Cricetulus griseus: one gene and its partners. The protein of the gene in region 3 interacts with the protein of the main gene of each other region in a pairwise test. Links are inferred from orthologs where the notes say so. Each region holds a gene or a part of one and is shown on either strand. Other genes may lie near its edges.

Evidence for each region. The genes of interacting proteins can lie anywhere in the genome.
Region 1: the proteins of Ubqln1 (region 3) and Agpat5 interact in binary tests that used the Homo sapiens proteins (3 or more experiments, as listed by UniProt). The two-hybrid records come from large-scale screens. The link is inferred for Cricetulus griseus from reciprocal best matches to the Homo sapiens genes UBQLN1 and AGPAT5.
Region 2: the proteins of Ubqln1 (region 3) and Klhl42 interact in binary tests that used the Homo sapiens proteins (3 or more experiments, as listed by UniProt). The two-hybrid records come from large-scale screens. The link is inferred for Cricetulus griseus from reciprocal best matches to the Homo sapiens genes UBQLN1 and KLHL42.
Region 4: the proteins of Ubqln1 (region 3) and Zg16 interact in binary tests that used the Homo sapiens proteins (3 or more experiments, as listed by UniProt). The link is inferred for Cricetulus griseus from reciprocal best matches to the Homo sapiens genes UBQLN1 and ZG16.
Region 5: the proteins of Ubqln1 (region 3) and Nme3 interact in binary tests that used the Homo sapiens proteins (3 or more experiments, as listed by UniProt). The two-hybrid records come from large-scale screens. The link is inferred for Cricetulus griseus from reciprocal best matches to the Homo sapiens genes UBQLN1 and NME3.

Annotation. Positions count from the first base shown.
Region 1 is NW_023276807.1:62,409,617-62,413,712, forward strand, and holds the start of Agpat5 (1-acyl-sn-glycerol-3-phosphate acyltransferase epsilon), read right to left. Parts: upstream 2,811-4,096; 5' UTR 2,533-2,810; coding exon 2,314-2,532; intron 1-2,313. UniProt on the Homo sapiens protein: Converts 1-acyl-sn-glycerol-3-phosphate (lysophosphatidic acid or LPA) into 1,2-diacyl-sn-glycerol-3-phosphate (phosphatidic acid or PA) by incorporating an acyl moiety at the sn-2 position of the glycerol backbone.
Region 2 is NC_048601.1:2,620,138-2,624,151, forward strand, and holds the start of Klhl42 (kelch-like protein 42), read right to left. Parts: upstream 2,811-4,014; 5' UTR 2,567-2,810; coding exon 1,746-2,566; intron 872-1,745; exon of another isoform or gene 791-871; intron 1-790. UniProt on the Homo sapiens protein: Substrate-specific adapter of a BCR (BTB-CUL3-RBX1) E3 ubiquitin-protein ligase complex required for mitotic progression and cytokinesis. The BCR(KLHL42) E3 ubiquitin ligase complex mediates the ubiquitination and subsequent degradation of KATNA1.
Region 3 is NC_048596.1:277,204,139-277,207,493, reverse strand, and holds the end of Ubqln1 (ubiquilin-1), read left to right. Parts: intron 1-994; coding exon 995-1,147; 3' UTR 1,148-2,839; downstream 2,840-3,355. UniProt on the Homo sapiens protein: Plays an important role in the regulation of different protein degradation mechanisms and pathways including ubiquitin-proteasome system (UPS), autophagy and endoplasmic reticulum-associated protein degradation (ERAD) pathway.
Region 4 is NC_048596.1:73,700,664-73,704,050, forward strand, and holds Zg16 (zymogen granule membrane protein 16), read left to right. Parts: upstream 1-1,279; coding exon 1,280-1,334; intron 1,335-1,507; coding exon 1,508-1,640; intron 1,641-2,561; coding exon 2,562-2,877; downstream 2,878-3,387. UniProt on the Homo sapiens protein: May play a role in protein trafficking. May act as a linker molecule between the submembranous matrix on the luminal side of zymogen granule membrane (ZGM) and aggregated secretory proteins during granule formation in the TGN.
Region 5 is NC_048600.1:44,489,631-44,492,405, forward strand, and holds Nme3 (nucleoside diphosphate kinase 3), read left to right. Parts: upstream 1-1,166; 5' UTR 1,167-1,258; coding exon 1,259-1,304; intron 1,305-1,378; coding exon 1,379-1,509; intron 1,510-1,602; coding exon 1,603-1,704; intron 1,705-1,780; coding exon 1,781-1,893; intron 1,894-1,961; coding exon 1,962-2,079; 3' UTR 2,080-2,265; downstream 2,266-2,775. Other genes in the region: Mrps34 (28S ribosomal protein S34, mitochondrial), read left to right, coding at 1-236, 409-451, 531-823. UniProt on the Homo sapiens protein: Catalyzes the phosphorylation of ribonucleosides and deoxyribonucleoside diphosphates, other than ATP, into the corresponding triphosphates with ATP as the major phosphate donor.

The DNA.
Region 1 (4,096 bases), on a different chromosome or scaffold from region 3:
TGGTGTGGGCAGATGGCTCAGTGGGTAAAGCACTTGTCACACAAGCTTGAGGACCTGAGTTCAGATCTCCAGAATCCACATGAAGCCAGACATGCCTCTGTATAATCCACTGCTCCTACAGTGAGATGGAAGCAGCAGGATCTGGAGACCACCTGGAAACTGAAAAGCCAGCTGAGCTGGCACACACGTGGTGAGCAAGAGACCCTGACTCAAAAGTACAGATGAAGATCAACACTCCAGGTTGACCTATGACCTCTATATGTATGCCATGGCACAGTGCATCCACAATCATGAATATGCATACCTATGTACATGCAGCACAAACCACATGCACATAAAGAATTTTTTCTTTGTGTAAACCTGAAGGGATACACAAATTATTCAGAATTTTAGCAATGAATATGATCTCAAAAATGAGATTAGGAAAGAACCTATGTTTACACAGAATCCAATGTAATATCCACAAAATCTGCTTTTGACAGCAAAAGAGGCCCTCCTCCTCACCTTCTCCCTCCTCAAGTGGAATTGGTTGACAAGAGTTTGGATATAGCTGCCTGAAGACTATCCTAAACTATGTATATTTTCTAAAACTAATGCACCTAAGATTACTAATACAGCTAGTGAACCAAGGTAGAAAAAAAGCCTGTGTCTTAAATTCTTGTGGCTAATGAACAGTTAATTACTTTGATTTTATTTTCATCTATATTCCTACCTAACCATATTTCTTCTCATGTGTAAATGTGTTCCATGTCATTAGGAACCCACTAAAATTGCATATACTAAAAGTCTAAGCCAGGCAAGGTAGCTCATGTCTCTAGTCTCAGCACTCAGAAGACAGAGGTGGGCCGATCTCTGTGAGCTGAAAGACTATGAGGTCTCTGGAAAGAGTTTCTGCCCACCAGGACTACATGGTGAGATCCTGGTTGGTTTGTTTTTAAAGCTCGATACAGAAAGAGGAGAGGAACACATTTTTTTTCTTTTTGTCTTTCTCTTAATCTTAGTTTTAAGAGTGTCTCCTTCAAACTGAAAGGCCTCAAATCACCTCGAGAGCAGCTGCTGTAGCACTGGGGTATGTTCCTTTCATAAGGTTTGCACTCGACTGTCCTCAAATGCATGTCCTCTCCCAATCAATAAACTCGCTTAACTTTGCTTCACTTTGACTCATCCTGAATGTCTCTGCGGCAAGAATATGGGCTTGAGAAGAGATCCCTGAGGCTCTGAGTGAGGGGTACTTGTCCTGTGCAAGATCAGCAACCTTAAGTGGCATTCCCAGCTGTCCCAACTGCTAGTGAAAATATGTGAAATTAAATTCTTACCCACGACTAAACCATACATTCATTTGACAAACTTGGTAAAGTAAAAGTGAGGGAAGAAGCAATCAGCCTAGAATTCCTGAAAATTCTGACTGACACCCTAAAAGACAATTGCTCAGAAACCTCAACGTGGAACAGTGATTTTTCTGTTTCCTAGGAAAACATTTAAAAGATCGTGTGATTCCTAGCCTCTCCTAATTCCCTTCCTCAGACATCATTTCCAACTGGAGCAAACTCAATAAGCGATCTGTCCCCAACTGCAGCCACGGACATTGAATGAAAAGAGCTGGGAAATGGGGGGCGGGGGAGGGACAAATGATACAGCTCTATTTTGCGTCATGAACATTAGGAAGACCCCATACAGAGCTCTTCTTTCAAACTGAAAACTAAAAGGGAAGCCCAATCCTAAGTTTTTATGAGACTTCATACAACTAAGTCATGTTAGGAGGGCTTCTCTACTTTTATGCTTTTCCAAGTTCAGTCTCCACAGAAAAAGAAACAAGTAGCAGAAAGAAAGCAATCTGACCAGAGATCAGCCCCACACTGAAGCCCAGGCGAAGCTGGCGGAGAACTGTATCCACAGTGAGGCTCCTATTGTAACCAATGTATTCATTTCCTCGCCAGGCTCTCGCTTTTCACTCGGGGAGGAACGCGAGGCAAGAGTTGTCCTTCACCACTGTCACTTGGGTCAGCGTCTAGAGGGCTTCCTAATCTAAGAGACCTCGGAAGTGCAGATGGAGCCAGTCCCACCATCACCATCTCGGACTCCGTGTCCTACTTTGCCAGGCACCGAGACGGGCAGTAACAGCCGGCAGGGGCGGGGGTGGGGCGGACCCGGGGACACACTCAGCCTCGGCAGGACGTTCCAGAAGGAACCCCAAAGTGAGACCCAGAAACTGTCCCCCGCCCGGCCCCGCCGCGGCGGGAGGGAGGCCGGGTGCGGCGGCACGTGCTCGCCGGGCTGCGAGCTGCAAGCTGCGCCTTCCGGGCCGCGCCTCACCTGGACCCCGGTGTAGTTCTCGAAGAAGAAGAGCACCATGTTCTGGTAGACGCAGTAAAGCCGGTCGTCCACGCGCTGGTAGAGGCGGGCGGGCAGCAGCGCCGACAGCACCCGCCACAGCGTCCAGGCCAGCAGGTAGGTGGGCGCCGAGCCCAGCAACAAGACGCTCGGAAGCAGGTAGCGCATAGAGTACGTGTGGAGCACCAGGGACAGCAGCATCCTCTCGGCTCGCCAGGCGCGACTCCGCCTGCCTTGCCCGTGCCGCCGCCAGGACCTCAGCCACCGCCGGCCGCCCGCCAATCACCGCGCGGGGCCGGCCGCGCCGCCGCCCTCCACCCTGGCTCCGCCCCCAGCATGGGCCGCGGGGCCCCGGGACCCGGCGGGGACTGTGGCTACCCGGCTCGCCGCCACCGCGGTAAGGGCACGCCTCGGCTTGCCCGGCGTGCCCGCCTCGGGGTGCTCGCCTTGGCGTGCTCGCTTTGCTCCGCGCGAACCGCGCCTGTCAGCAGCGAGGCGGCGTGAGGCAGGACGCCCAGGTAATAAGGCGCCTGCAGATTGGACGGCGTGTGGCCGTAACACGCGCTCTGATTGGTCCGGGCCCTTCTCGTCCCTACGCATGCTCGGCTGCGGATGTTGGTTGTGGTTGAGCCCGGGAAGATGTGAGAAGGTGGACTTGGGCCTGTGAAGGCATTCAGCCTTGGTCCTGCGTGGAGAGATGGGGACAGGAGGATGCTCCCGGACAGGAGGATGCTCCCTGCAAGACACGCGTGAGCCGAGGTCGTGGAGCGCAGGAGGGGCTCAGCGCCGCAGGTTACCGGCAGCTGCGGCGCTCCTTCCGGCCTGGTCATTGCAGAATGAGGCCGGGTCTGTCTCCCGTAACCTCGGTTCACCTTTCACAGGACTGTTTCTCCCCCCCCCCCCCCATTAGACCTTTCAAAGCTCCACTCTTGCTTTACTTTGCAACTCCTTGCCTTTTAACTTGTTTCTGCTGTGCTTCTTTCTAGTAGCCTACGTTTCTTCTTTTTTTTTTCAATGTGTAGAAAAGTACTTTCCTATACGTGTAGAAGTTCTGTTCCCGCCAAAAACAAGGACAGTTAAGGAGCAGTAAAACCTTATATAGAAGGACTTATATAGGTCCTTCTGCCTAACTAGTGGAGACAACCTCATCCTAGAAGGTATAGAAGAAAACAAGCCTGTGTGCATATTCAGATCTTTATAAAGTCAATTTTAAATTGTGTGTATGTGTAAATATGTTGATTTCTGTGAGTGACCCTGTGAGTGCCTCTGTTTCTCCCTTTCTGATCCAGACCACTGAATCATCTTCCCACTACATGTCTACTCCCTCGTCTTGCACTTGCCTTCATCTTTTGCCCCAAGTTACTTTCCCATCACCTCTTGAGATGGACTCAGGGCATACAGATGACTCATGTAGTATGCACAATATGTCAGGAACAGATGGACATGTTTATGTATGTTCATGATGTTGGGATTTATTGAATTACAATAAGTTCCACAAGTACTGTGGTTTCACTGGCACCAAAGAGTCATGCTTTACTTGGCAGCCTTGGCTAAGGCAAATAAGGTCCTTTTATTGCATTCTTAATTACAGATATTAACCCTTACATCACACATACATCACTCAGTAAGTTTATCTCTGTATGTTTACATATGTAGATATGTGTGTTACACTGACTACAAAGGGTTAAAAGGGGCAAGGAAACTGGTAGGGATACAAGAGTCTATACTGAGAACATGTGTACCATAAACTCAGCTGCAGAGAAGA
Region 2 (4,014 bases), on a different chromosome or scaffold from region 3:
GATATAAATACCATGTTACAGTAGGTCGGATGGAAGCCCACCAACCCCTAGTAATACCTCTGGAAGGGAGAGTGGGTGGCACATTCATCTCTGCTTCTTATAATTCAGCTTTCCAGGGCTTTCTAGGATTTACTTTTTATCTTTATTTGGTGCCTATATGTGTATGTATGCATGTATGTGGGTGCCTGTTAGCTACAGATGCCCTGGAGATGCAGCTACAGGTTATAGCACCCAGTGTGGGAGCTGGGAAACTGAACACCACGTCTTATGAAAGAGCACCAAGTGCTCTCAGCCTCTGAGCCATCAGGACAAGGTATGTTCCTGCAAATAACCCCTAACCTAAGTGTCTCTTGTCCTGCGTTGGACCGGGCAGTTCCAGTTCAGATTTCTTCCTTCTAGTTTCCAGTCATTTCAAGGCAAAGACCACAGTGGGATCTGGGTGGCAGCAGGTGGCCTGGTAGAGAGGGCCTGTCCTGTCGTAGCTACCCTCCCCACCATTTCTGGGGCACTGGTGATTGAATGGAGGCCTCATGAGTTCTAGGCAAGCGCTCTCACACTGAGATATGGTTTTCCCACTCTCCTATGTTTTGCTTGTTATCCAGGCTGGCCTGGAACTCACCTGCAACCTAGAAAGGCCCTTACCTTGGAACCTGCTCGCTTCAGCAGTCTAAGCAGCTGGGGCAACAGGCCTGTAAGACTGAGACAACCTGGGACGACTGTCTGGACTCCCTTTCTCTTCCTGTGTCTGCTTTTTTTTTTTTTTTTTTTATCTTGCTTTCATTTTCTTTTTCTCCAGGCTCCTTTCCTTACTTCTCCTCCCACCCTGACCTCCAAGCTCCTCCATTTCTTCTCTGAGCCACCCATGGTCAAGGTAAGAGGGCTCCACAGGAAGGGAATGAGTGAGGGAGAAAGGAATGAATGCACCTGGCCCTTTGAGTCCACAGGTTCATAGATTCAAACAGTAAGCAGGGGAAGTGTGTATATTGACAACACTGACAAGGTAGATACATTACATTTGAAGCTGTAAGGAACATAGAGATTATTTATTGTAGAAAGCCAGACTCGTTAGTGCACACCTTTAATCCCAGCACTCCAAAGGCTAGAAGGCAGGAGGATCACTTGAGCCTAGCGAGCTCAGGAGTTCAAGACCAGCCTGAGGAAAGAACACACCAAGATAAAGGAAAACCAAGGAACATAAGCAGGGGGGTACATGTATGCTTCATGCTAATAGCTGCAGGATGCTCAGGCAGACAAGAGACTCGAGGGGCAAGGGCATGCCGATTCTGTAGTTGATCCTGCTCTGGGCTCAAGTTTTGGGTCAAAGATGATTGCTGTCTAGGGAGGAAATAAACAAAAAGAAGGGAGAAGGAAGGGGAAAAAAAGAAGTGAATCCCTTTGTGGCGCGTATTAATATCATCATCCTAGGGACGGCGGATTCCTACCCAGGTGCAGAAGGATGCAAAGTCACTGGCAGCGACAACCAAAGTTCCTGAAGCCAGAGTGTTAGATACTGCTGCCAAAGAGGCATTATAATTCGGATCAGACCAGGGAAGGAAAGAGAAGGAAAAAACAGCAGTCATCTTCTGTAATATCCACTTCAAACACACCGAGACAGAGAAACCTGAGGCCCGCACCTGGAAGAAGGTCACTGGGCGGGCCGACTTCCTGCTGGCAGGCCCCGGGCTCCCCGGGAACTCTGCCAGGACAATGAATGGAGGGCTCAGGCCCTGCCGACAGACACTTACCGTTTCTGGTTCATGGAGGCCACCTGCAGCCACTCGTTGGTGGTGGGGTTGTAGGAGTGTGCGGCCGAGATCTCCTGGCTGGTGATCCTGTACCCGCCCACGATGAAGAGGTAATTGTCCAAGACGGCTGAGCCGTAGCCTCTGACGTTCACCAGGTCGGGGGGCAGGTTGTTGGCCAGCGGGAACCAGCGTTCCGTGGTCTCCTCGTACCTAAGCATGGACGGGGGTTCCCCCTGATACGGGTGCGGGGCCAGGGGTCCCCCGAGGAAATCCCCCAGGGCCACCAGAACCGGGGTCCCGCGCATGCGGGCCTCCCTCAGCCTCTGCTTCAGGCTGCAGTCCCCCGGGGCCTGCGGCGGCGACAGCAGGAGCGGGAACTGCGGCTGGCACAGCACCTGGTGGAAGCGCAGCGCCATAAAGCGCAGGCAGGCATCCTGCAGGTCGGGCAGCCCGTACACCTGAGCCAGGCGGTACAGCTCCAAGCAGTTGCCCAGACGCACATGCGACAGCAGCAGGCGCAGCAGCGCCGTGACCTGCAGGAAGGACGCGGCCTCCACCAGCTCGGCCAGCACCTCGTCCTCGCCCAGGCCCCAGCCCTCGCGCGCGCCGCCCGCGTTGATGAAGTCGAGCACCAGCCGCAGGCCCGGCGCGCTCAGGCCGCGCAGCTGCTGCACCTCCGGGCCAGCCTCGGGCCGCACGGCCTCGCGCATGCCGGAGCGGTAGAGCGCGCGGAAGTAGTCGCTCTGCTCGATCAGCTTGCTCTTGCTCACCGGGTAGCAGCGGCCTTCCAGGCTGATCTGCACCACCTCCTCGGCGGACATGGCTGGGCCGCTGGGCCGCTGCGCCCGCCGCCCGCCGCCCGGCCGCGCAGGCTCCTCCCCCGGGCTCACACCCTCCGCCGAGCCGGGCCTGCGCCCGCGCTTCCTTCCGCCGCCGCGGGCCCCCGGCTCAGCGCCGCCGGCACGTCATGCGCCCTCCGAGTAAATGGCCTCTCTGTGTCTTTTATCGACGTGTCCGTGTGGGTGCGTGCGCGTCAGCGCGGGTGTCAGGAGGCCAAAGGCGTCACACGACCCTGCAGCCCGAGGCACTGGCGGTTGTGAGCCGCCCTACGCAGGAACAGGAACCGAACTCCCGACCTCCGCAGCAGCAGTGTGCACACTTAACCACTGCGTGTCCCTCCAGCACGGTCTTTTTGTAATTGATCAGGAAACAAAGAAACAAACGCGCCGGTTCGCCATGCCCTCTCCCTATGCACAAATCATTGTAGCGTTTCCTGCAGCAGCTCAGGCAGCTGTCCCTGCTCAGTTTTCTAGGACCAGTCAGTCAGCACTGCTAGGTTTGCACTGTGACCGGCCTGGCCTGGTGGTCCAAGAATAATACACTGAGGGATTACTGGAGCTAAGGAGTTTTAGAGGTGTTGTTAACTCCATGGACAAGACAGACAGACACAGACAGACGGGCAATGGCATAGTCGGGCCTCCAAGGAGAGTTCAGAGCTCAGCACCAGAAGCAGCAAGTAGGGTCTCTGGAGAGAACCAGAGGCCAAGAGAGCACCCGAAGGGGCAGGGGCGGGTGGATGGAGAGGGCACTGAGGTGCATTAGGCCTGTCACCTCCAGGTAGAAGTCTGACCTGGGCAGCACCTGTCACTCAACACCTTGCCCGTCTCCCCTGGAGGCTCACTTGGTTAGAAGACTGATTCCTAAGGGCTCGCTGTGGTGAAGTGGTAGTGTTTGCAGGCAAGGTGGCCCGCATTGAATTCCCCAGCATAACTGTGTCAGTCCGTGGGCTGCTCCACAGAGAGGGGGCTTTCAGCCTTTGTGTTCTGCAGAATACAAACAAGGATAAGGCACAAGAAAGTACAGAAAACATTCTAGTAGAGTCCAGCCTTGCTGGGGCAAAGGGCCACTCACACACACACACACACACACACACACACACACACACACACACACAGACCCCGGACTTGTTATACTTTGTTACTTTCTTGGATTCTCTGAGAAACTGGAGACATTGCACTGTATGATTGACAGGCCTTGAATCATTCCTGGATGGCTTCCATGGGTTATCTGTCTGTCACTCTCAGTGTTTGGGGTGTGAGGAAGGTGCAGGTGCGGGGCCAAGGATTTAGCAGTCTCTATGGCAAGGCAGAGTGCCATGTCTAGGATTAGATGTTAGGCTGGGGGCTGCTGGGAGGCATGACGTCAAAGAGGCTGGACCTGATCTGTCTGTACCTCCTTTAGCCACGAGGCAGGGATCAACGGGTCACCA
Region 3 (3,355 bases):
GGGAAAACCTAAAAACATTGTCAGTGTCTCAGAACAGCCATATCTAGGCTTCCAACTGTAGCCTGTCCACTCCCCCAGCACATCCTGTAGTAACTGAACACGTGGACTCCTTAGTAATGGTCTTGTAGCTGTGAACATTTATTGTCTTTACCAAGAATTTATCATTAAGGAGGCCTGGAGAAATGACTTGCTCAGTGGTTAAGAACATTGGCTGTGCTTCCAGAGCCGGATCCAATTCTCAGCACCTACATGGCCGCTCACAACCATATATAATTCCAGTCTCAGGGCTCTTTTCACTTCTGTGGGCATCAGGCATGCACATGGTACCCATACAGGCGAAACACATATAACACCTAAGATAAGGTTAGAAAATAAATTCTGCCATCAGGCTAGTTAGTATATTGTAATTGATGTACACTCAGTATCAATACAAGAGAAAGCACCAGCTGTCTTTACATGGGCTCTTAAAAGAGTTTCTGCTTGTTCATGAGCCTCTGAAGTAATGGAATTTGTTGAGCGTGTTTTACCCATTGTGAGAGGAGAGAGGGAGGGCCTGGGGAATCAAATCCAAGGCCCCCAAGTATTCACCCCCATTCTGTAAGGTGTTTTAAAGGCAGAATTACATAGTTTAGGAATGAACTATTCTAAAATAAAATGTTAAACAATTTTTAAATATATTTATAAATTATAACTAAATTATTTTAAATCATATTTTGCTCATTTGAAGTAAATATGATAAATATGATAAGGATAAATTACAAAGTAACACCTGGAAATGTCCACTTTGTTTATAAAATAATTATAGATGGTCTTGTATATTTTAGTTGAGTAAGTTCACTCTCTTTAATAAATAGCCAAATATGGTGGTTATATCTCAAGGCACAGGTAGCAATTTAAAACAAGCTTGGCCAACCAGCGTATACCGTTTAAAAGGCAGTTGAGGTGTTTGAAGACTGCCTCTCCTTAGAATGTGCTTCTTTGTTCTTCTCAACAGCTGCAGAGCCCAGAAGTCAGGTTCCAGCAACAACTGGAACAGCTCAGTGCCATGGGATTTTTGAACCGTGAAGCAAACTTGCAAGCACTGATAGCAACAGGGGGTGACATCAACGCAGCAATTGAACGGTTGCTGGGCTCCCAGCCATCATAGCAGCATTTCTGTATCCTGGGGGAAAAAATGTAATTTATTTTTGATAACGGCTCTTAAATCTTTAAAATAACCTGCTTTATTTCATGGGAACTCTGTGCTGTTATAAAAGAGACCGGTAGGAAGCACCTGAGGTGGAGTGCAGTAAGACTTCTGTGCTGGGTTCTGAATCTCTGTGAAACAGTGGGAATCAATGTTTTCAGTTAAGGCTGCTGCATGCATCAAACACTTGGCATTTATTGTAATTTTTTTTTTTTTAAATATCACCTTTTCTAATTGGGTGAACAAATTTTTGTCCTGCATCTGTCCAACTAACTTGCTTTTTAAACATAACCCCATGGTAGTAATTTATGTAGAATAAAGGCATTAAAAGCAGATCATTTGCGCTCCATGGTTTGTGGTACAATATTGCTTACTGTGACTTTGGCATGTATTTTTGCAAATAATGCTGTAAGGTTTGTACTACTGACAATTTTGCTTATTTGTATACAGTACAAATTACTGCACATTTCTAGGTCATCTAAGCAAAATTCCTGTAACCAAAAAAGTAAAACAAGGATTCCTAATTGTGTAGAATCTTACAGCTTCTTTGATAAACACCTCTCAGCAGGAAATAAAGAAAAACTGACTCTGGTTATCTCTTTAGGGACATTTAATTGTACAGACAATATAATGTAACAATATCTCAGCATTCACATAATAGCTGTAAATTACCTATATTTTGTTCAGACTGAGGAGCACTGTAACAGACTCCAGTGCATTTTCCGGGGCTTCCTGCTCCCCATAGGTGTCCAGGCAGCATTGAGTGGGATTGAAATGTTGTCTTCCCTGAAAGTGCTGACGTTTCCGTCTTAATTGCCATATAAAAGTAGAGCTGTCTCTTGGGTTTATCAGCTCTCTCATTCATAGGCAATACCCGGATTTAAAATGATTAGTGAGTGAGCCACTTGTTTCTGAAGTGTTTGCCTAGTTCTATTACGAAGAAGTAGTTGAATGTCTGTCGTGCTGTTCAGAGCCTCAGAGGGGGGTGGGGGTGGGATGAGACAGAATCTATTCTGGATTGGGCCAGCCTGAACTAAGTGATACTGACAACCAAGGTCTGTGAAGAGTTTATGCATACAGTAGTGTCAGTCTGGTGAACACAAAGAGCCGTTTTCACAGTTGAGTAAGTTTGGCTATGCTATAGCCTCTTCCTTCCTTCCCAAAGAAGTTCTGTTTGCCTAACTCTCACACTGTTGGGGTGATACATTCCTTCGGGACCAATTAAAATATAACTTTAGGGTCAGTGACATACTTGGCTGACTCTGGTTCAGTATTCTCTTAGGTCATTGTATTCTCTCTTGTACAGTTACCCAAAGTTATAATGTTAAAATAATCTGAAGTGACTTCAGACAAACAAATCAAGGGAAGTAGATGGTGAACTCTTTAACTCTGTAAGTTGCTTGCTATTAAAAGGTTGAGAGGTCAGGTTGACCCCAGACTGTGCACTGCTCTGACATTGTCCCCAAGAAGAAAGCATGTACAAAAGTCGGGGTGGAGGCCTGGCTGGTGAAGGTAGTGCTCGTGTGTCTCTCTGCTCTCTCTGCCTTATGTCTGGGTTAGAGACTTTTGTACTGGTGAATGGCACCACAGAGGGGCTGTGTCATAGCCAGTTTGATTTATTAATCACAAATAACAATAAATCTCCAGCTTTTACACTGGTTGTCTTGCCTCTTTTGTAGAAAAAATGTCTGTTTTTTCTCAACACGTCTTAAAGGCTATTTGGCTTGATTTATTCTGGATTTTTTTTTTTTAATTGGATATTTCTTTTGGGGGTTGGGGAAGGGGTACAGCAGTGGTTTGTACAACACTGTCTTACTCCGTAGATCTGGCTATTCTGAAACTCATTATGTATGTATCCCCAGACTGGATCTGCACTGGTCCTCCTCCTGAGTATTGTGATAACGGTTGTGAGCCAGCCTGTCCCGCTAGGTGGTGTTGAGACAATGAGCCATCTGGTAGGTTAGGGCTGCTGAGTGCTCTTTGACTGGATGCTTTAGCTCCCAGTAGGTTTGTTTAGGGATGACCCTACATAAGAACAGCAGAGCCTGTGGTTGGAAAACATTGAGTACAGGCATAGATTGTTCTTCCGCCACGTCAGTCTTTAGAGCCATTGGAGTAAAGAATGGAGGGGAGAAAATTGAAACTCTCAACAGTTACCAGATAGCAAAC
Region 4 (3,387 bases), about 200 Mb from region 3:
GGGTAGGGAGAACATTCCTCCAGGCCTCTAGGATTACATTCTCATTTGCTTGTCTGTGTTTTCAGACAGGGTCTCATACTGTAGCCCAGACTGGCCTTGAACTCATGATCCTCTTGCCTCGCCCCAAATGTTGGTGTTACACACATGAGCCACCATGTCTGAATTAATTATTCTCTTTAGATTCTAGCTGCTTTTCCTGCCCTTCAGTTGGACTTTAAGAAAATTTATTACATCTCTTCACAAATCTGCACTTTGTCTAGAGTGGACCCCACCTTGCCACCTGTAACCGTAGCGGGAGAGGCGGGATAAGGTGTTCCAGACCCTGCTCAACACCTGACCCTAGGAGGTTGGTCATGTTTGCTCAGCAGGTGAGGTTCACATAATAAAGAACAGTGGGAGGGCTTGGACCTGGTATAAAAGGTCTGGGAATTTCTAGAAGATTTGCACCTGAAACTGCTAGGGGAAAGGTGAGTTGGGGGAAGACCTCCAAATCTGAGCTAGGAAAGACAATGCCTGGACTGTAGCAGGGCAGACGCAGGCAGCAGCTCCTGGATGGGAGCTATTTTGGGGTGCAAAGGTGTCTGGTTTTGGCTAAGGGGGGTGAATATGGACAGGCTTAGCTGTGGGAGACAGGGTTATGACACACAGACAAGTTGCTTGAGAACTGATGTCTGAGCTCGTGCAAGCTGCTCCTAAAATCTCTTCGCCTCGCTCAGTTCCGCCAGTGCTCCCTGGACATTGGCGAACTGTCTTCTATTGTCCTTTGCTCTTGAGGTGATACAGAGGCACCTTGAAAATGTTCTTTGCCTTGATTTAAGAGTAGAGTGATGCTAGAGCTTTAACTGTGCCTCAGACAGCTCATCAACCATTTGATTTCAGGGAGGTTTTGCTCTGATTCTTGGATCATCAGTTCAACTGCCTCAATATTTTGGGGGTGACCTTTACTTCCTCTTCAGAAAACTCTCTCGTGCTTTGTGCCTGCATGAAGGGAGGCTTGACTCAGTTTAACACAGACGGAAAGTTTGGATTATCTTTTTGGATTGGGAAAGAAGGGTTAGTTAGGTACGGTCAGAACAGGGAGAACCGGAGGGATTAGGGGCCTGGAAAATAATATCTGAAAGGAACAGGACTATCCCTGGGCAGTTTTGTAGGTCTCTTAGATCTGAATTGAAATATCACCATGACATGGGTCTGTATTCCCAGCCAGAGATGCCTGGGTAAATGAAATCCAGAAAGCAATGAGCCTTCCTTTTCTCCCTCTTCCCACTGCAGCCTCAGAATGCTGGCCATCATTCTCTTAGCCCTTCTTTGTGCCTCGGCCTCTGGCAATGCCAGTAAGTGAAATGCCACTGACCTGGTAATGGGATAATGAGAAGGCAGCCCATGTACTGCTGATGCTGGTCAGGGCTGCCTGATACTGGTTTGGGGTGGTGGGGGAAATGGGGGTAGTGGAGAGCAGCTGTGCTCCCAGAGTATCTGTCCCTCCAGGCCTTTCTTTCTCCTCTAGTTCAGTCCAGGTCCTCCTCTTACAGTGGGGAGTATGGAGGTAAAGGAGGAAAGCGATTCTCTCATTCTGGCAACCAGCTGGACGGCCCCATCACTGCCATCCGTATCCGAGTCAATTCACGTTACATAGTAGGGTGAGAGTCTTCATGTTTCTGTGGTTTGGGAACTGTCTGGGACCTTACTAGGTTGGGAAAGTCTCATTCACTCTGGATCACACCTGTTTAAATCGGTAAGTCACAGTAATGTGTTGGAACACCTGGAGTCTAGATCTGTGCTATTCTAGTCCCCTAATACACATGACCTTGGCAAGTCAACAATCACAAACTCTCAGGGGTCTCACATTACCTGGGTTGGATTTCACCTGAGGTCTAAACCTCTTTCCCATATTTCTGTCGGGCATACTTTACCTGTGCTTGTTGTCTGTCCTGGGGTAGTCCCATCCCTTCCTCCAGCTGGAAACTTCCATCAAATGCAGAGCCAAATGCATTTCCTTCTAGTCTAAGTTCTGAACTGTGACACCGTGCTGGTTCGTCTCTCCTCTGTCTTGCCTGGGACACTTTCCAGTGTTTGAAAATCCTTGGGCTTCTTTGAAGTTTGTGTTGGCGGTGAGCTCAGACTCTGGCTGTCTGGGTGACTGAGTTCCACAAGCCAATATGCCAGCAAAATGAGAAGCCGAGATTCTCTGCATGGTCTTCTAAGGCTCACGCAGTCTTTGTATCTCATGGAACTTGTCACCAGTTTGAAGATACAGCATATAGACTAAGAAGATATATATATATATATATAATATATATATATATATATATAGTTTATTTTATGTTTGTGTGTGCATGATATGTGGGGGTGCCCAGGTGCCCCACCGTACATGTGGAGGCCAGAGGGAATCTTCTGTGAGTGGGTTCTCCCCCTCCACCACGTGGGACCTAGGGGTGGAACCCGTGTGGTCAGGCTTGGCAGCAGGCACCTTTACCAGCCGAGCCATCTCTCCATTCCAGTCTTGAATTGTAATAACCATGTTCCACGTGTTCCTTCTTCCTTCCCACCCCTGCCCCCAGTCTCCAGGTGCGCTATGGCACAGTGTGGAGTGAGTATGTGGGTGGCAAGCAGGGAGACCTGGAGGAGATCTTTCTGCACCCCGGGGAGTCTGTGATCCAGGTGTCTGGGAAGTACAGGTATTACCTGAAGCAGCTGATCTTCGTGACAGACAAAGGCCGCTACCTGCCTTTTGGGAAAGACTCAGGCACAAGTTTCAACGCCATTCCCTTACACCCCAACACCGTCCTTCGTTTCATTAGTGGCCGATCTGGCTCTGTCATCGATGCCATTAGCCTACACTGGGATGTCTACCCTAGCCACTGCAACACTTGCTGAAACCCACCTACTCTCTGGCAGCGGGTCTGTGTGGGTGTGAGAACCCTCTTATCACCAAGCCCCATGCAAACATGCAAATAGCTTAATAAAAGGATATGACTAAAGATGGTGTTTGTCCACATCCTAATTCTAATAAAAATGTGTGAAACTTATTTCTGGACTTTTTAAAATATTCAATTAAAAACATTTTGAGACAGGATCTCTCTACGTCCTGGAACTCACTATGTAGACCAGGCTGAACTCGCAGAGTCTGCCTGTCTCTGCCTCTGGAGTGCTGGGATAAAAGGGGTGAGCCACCATGCCTGGCTGTATCTGGCTACTGTTGAACGTTAATCTAAGGAAATGGGAGAATAAGGATGAGATGTGCTATGGGCTTTTCTTTATGCCATCAAAAAGAGACAAAATTCTGCCTGCACCAACTCTTCCCAAGGACAGCCCCTGAAAATTTTTCCTAATAGGACTTCAGAGGCTAGGGTAAGGCTTGGTTGTACCAACTTGCCAAAACTCACT
Region 5 (2,775 bases), on a different chromosome or scaffold from region 3:
GAGATTCGCAGCTCTACGCCCTAGACTACGAGACTCTGACCCGGCCGCACTCGGGTCGCCGGCTGCCGGTGCGCGCCTGGGCCGACGTGCGCCGTGAGAGCCGCCTCTTCCAGCTGCTCGCCCGCCTCCCAGTGTTCGGCTTGGGCCGTCTGGTCACCCGCAAGTCCTGGCTGTGGCAGCACGACGAGCCGTGCTACTGGCGCCTCACGCGCGTGAGACCCGACTACACGGCACAGGTGCGCTCTCACTGTGCTGCCCGTTCTTGTCTACGCTTTCTCCATCTTGCCCACCCTGGGCTACATCAGCTGGTTCTACCCACCCCGAACCACCTGGGCTTTTATGTCTCCCTTACCCACGTAACTTAGTGGCAGGGGCGCTACGTTGACAATCCCCCCTCTTGTTCTGCAGAACCTGGACCACGGGAGGGCCTGGGGCATCCTGACCTTCAAAGGTAAGGCTGGGTGCTGCTTGGAATCGGTGGTTCGCAGATTATCCAGCCAGCCGACAGTCAGCTTATCTTCTTTCCCCAGGGAAGACTGAGGATAAAGCTCGGGAAATCGAGCAAGTCATGTACCACGACTGGCGGCTGGTACCCAAGCACGAAGAGGAGGCCTTCACAGCCTTCACTGCCAAACCAGAGGACGGATTGAACCCTGTCCCCTACCCACCTTTGCTGCGGGCCATGATCCTCGCTGAACGACAGAAAAACGGGGATACCAGCGTCCAGGAACCGCTCCTGAACCTAGAGGGGACTCGGGTGCATCCTTGGGACTACCCTGCAAAACAGGAGACCAAAGGGAGGGCCAAGGGCACCCCAGTCTAACTGCCATCCATGATGGGCAGAGTGGCCATGTTTGTTATTTGATGAACAAGTATCTTAGACTGTGACAAACATCCCCTTTGGTGGAGAGTTAGACCCTACAGCCCTGACACACCTGCCAATGAATGATGGGGCAGTTGACAGGCTGTCATTTTCAGGTGGCCTTTTGCTCATACCTGCGTCTGGAAATAAATGCACGAAGCGGCCGGTGTTGTGCTTTCATTACGTGGGCACCTCAGGACGGGGTGTGGGGTGGGGGCGGAGTAGGGAAGCCGGGAGTGCGGAGCAGGGCTCCTGGTGCTCCAGTACACTCAGGCAGGTCTTGGGCGCTGTCGCTGTGCCCTGGGCTCAAATGTGCTGGGACTGCAGAGTCCGCGCCCCGAGGTCCTTTAAGGGAGGCCCCGCCCCCTCGCCGCCTGGTCCGCCCCAGCCGCCGCCATGATCTGCCTGGTGCTAACCATCTTCGCCAACCTCTTTCCCGCAGGTGAGCACCAGGGCGGGCTGGGTCTGGGCTGAGGGCAGTGCGGTGGGGCATGCCTGAAACCAGTGCTCCCGCAGCCTACAGCGGCGTGAACGAGCGCACGTTCTTGGCAGTGAAGCCCGACGGCGTGCAGCGGCGGCTGGTGGGCGAGATCGTGCGTCGCTTTGAGAGGAAAGGCTTCAAATTGGTGGCACTAAAGCTAGTGAAGGTATGGGCTCACAAAGGAGCTGGTAGATCCAGGAAGGGAATCGAGATGGCATAGTGTCAGGGCCCTGGCACTGATAAGCTACCCCTCCCCTAGGCCTCCGAAGAGCTGCTGCGGGAGCATTATGCGGAGCTGCACGAGAGACCCTTCTACAGCCGATTAGTTAAATACATGAGCTCTGGTCCGGTGGTGGCCATGGTGAGTTTCTGATGACCTGCAAGGGGAGGGCGAAGCCTTGGGGGAGCCCTTTTGGCGCTGACAGTACTCCCTGCAGGTGTGGCAAGGGCTGGACGTCGTACGTGCCTCACGGGCCCTCATAGGGGCCACTGACCCAGGGGACGCTATGCCTGGCACCATCCGTGGGGATTTCTGCGTGGAGGTTGGCAAGTAAGTACTACCAAACTCCCTGGCCACCCTCACCCTTCCTCCTCTGCTCACTAGCCATTCCCGCACAGGAATGTGATTCATGGCAGTGACTCGGTGGAAAGTGCTCACAGAGAGATTGCGCTTTGGTTCCGTGAGGATGAACTTCTGTGCTGGGAAGACAGCGCCGGGCATTGGCTATATGAGTAGACGGCACAGAAGTCAGCATTACCAACCTGGAGGTTGTTGGTCTTCTGCGAGCCTCACGAAACTCAGCAGCAGTGATAGTGCTGTGGGTGCCGGTCCACCCAACCCAGTCTGTCCAGGGACAGCCATTCCCACATCCCTCCCTGTATTTCTTTTCATAATAAACTGCAGAAAACCCTTGTGCACTGGCATAGTTTCAAGACAAAAGTAGTGTTAAGACATTTATTACATACAGAGCAGATATGTGAGTTCACTTGCAAGGCCAAAGCCTGAGGAGAGTTGCACTGGCCCCTTCCTCCAGCTGCACCCACCCAGTTAACCCCAGTCACTTCACAATCCTGTGGGAACAGACAAGGGACATACATCACAGTGGAGAGGTGGCAGGGTGGTGGGGAGAAGCCTACAGCTGCATATTGATGCAGCTCGTCATGGCCAGATGGGCTCAGGGGCAACACCCCTGGATCTGTGCTTCTCTGGTTGGGAGAGGGCAGTAGAAGCCAGCTGACCCTGATCACTGCCCCTGGAAGAGTTTAAGACCAGGGCCAGGGCAGCACCTGCCTCCACACACTTGCTTTTAACTGTGCCCATCCTGGCCAATCCTCAGCTCTTCTGGCCTCTGCCTGGCAGCCTCTTGTTAGTTGCTTTCCAAAGGAGCAGGCCACAGCTGGCAACCCTAGGCACTTAGTACGTGTCCGGGAA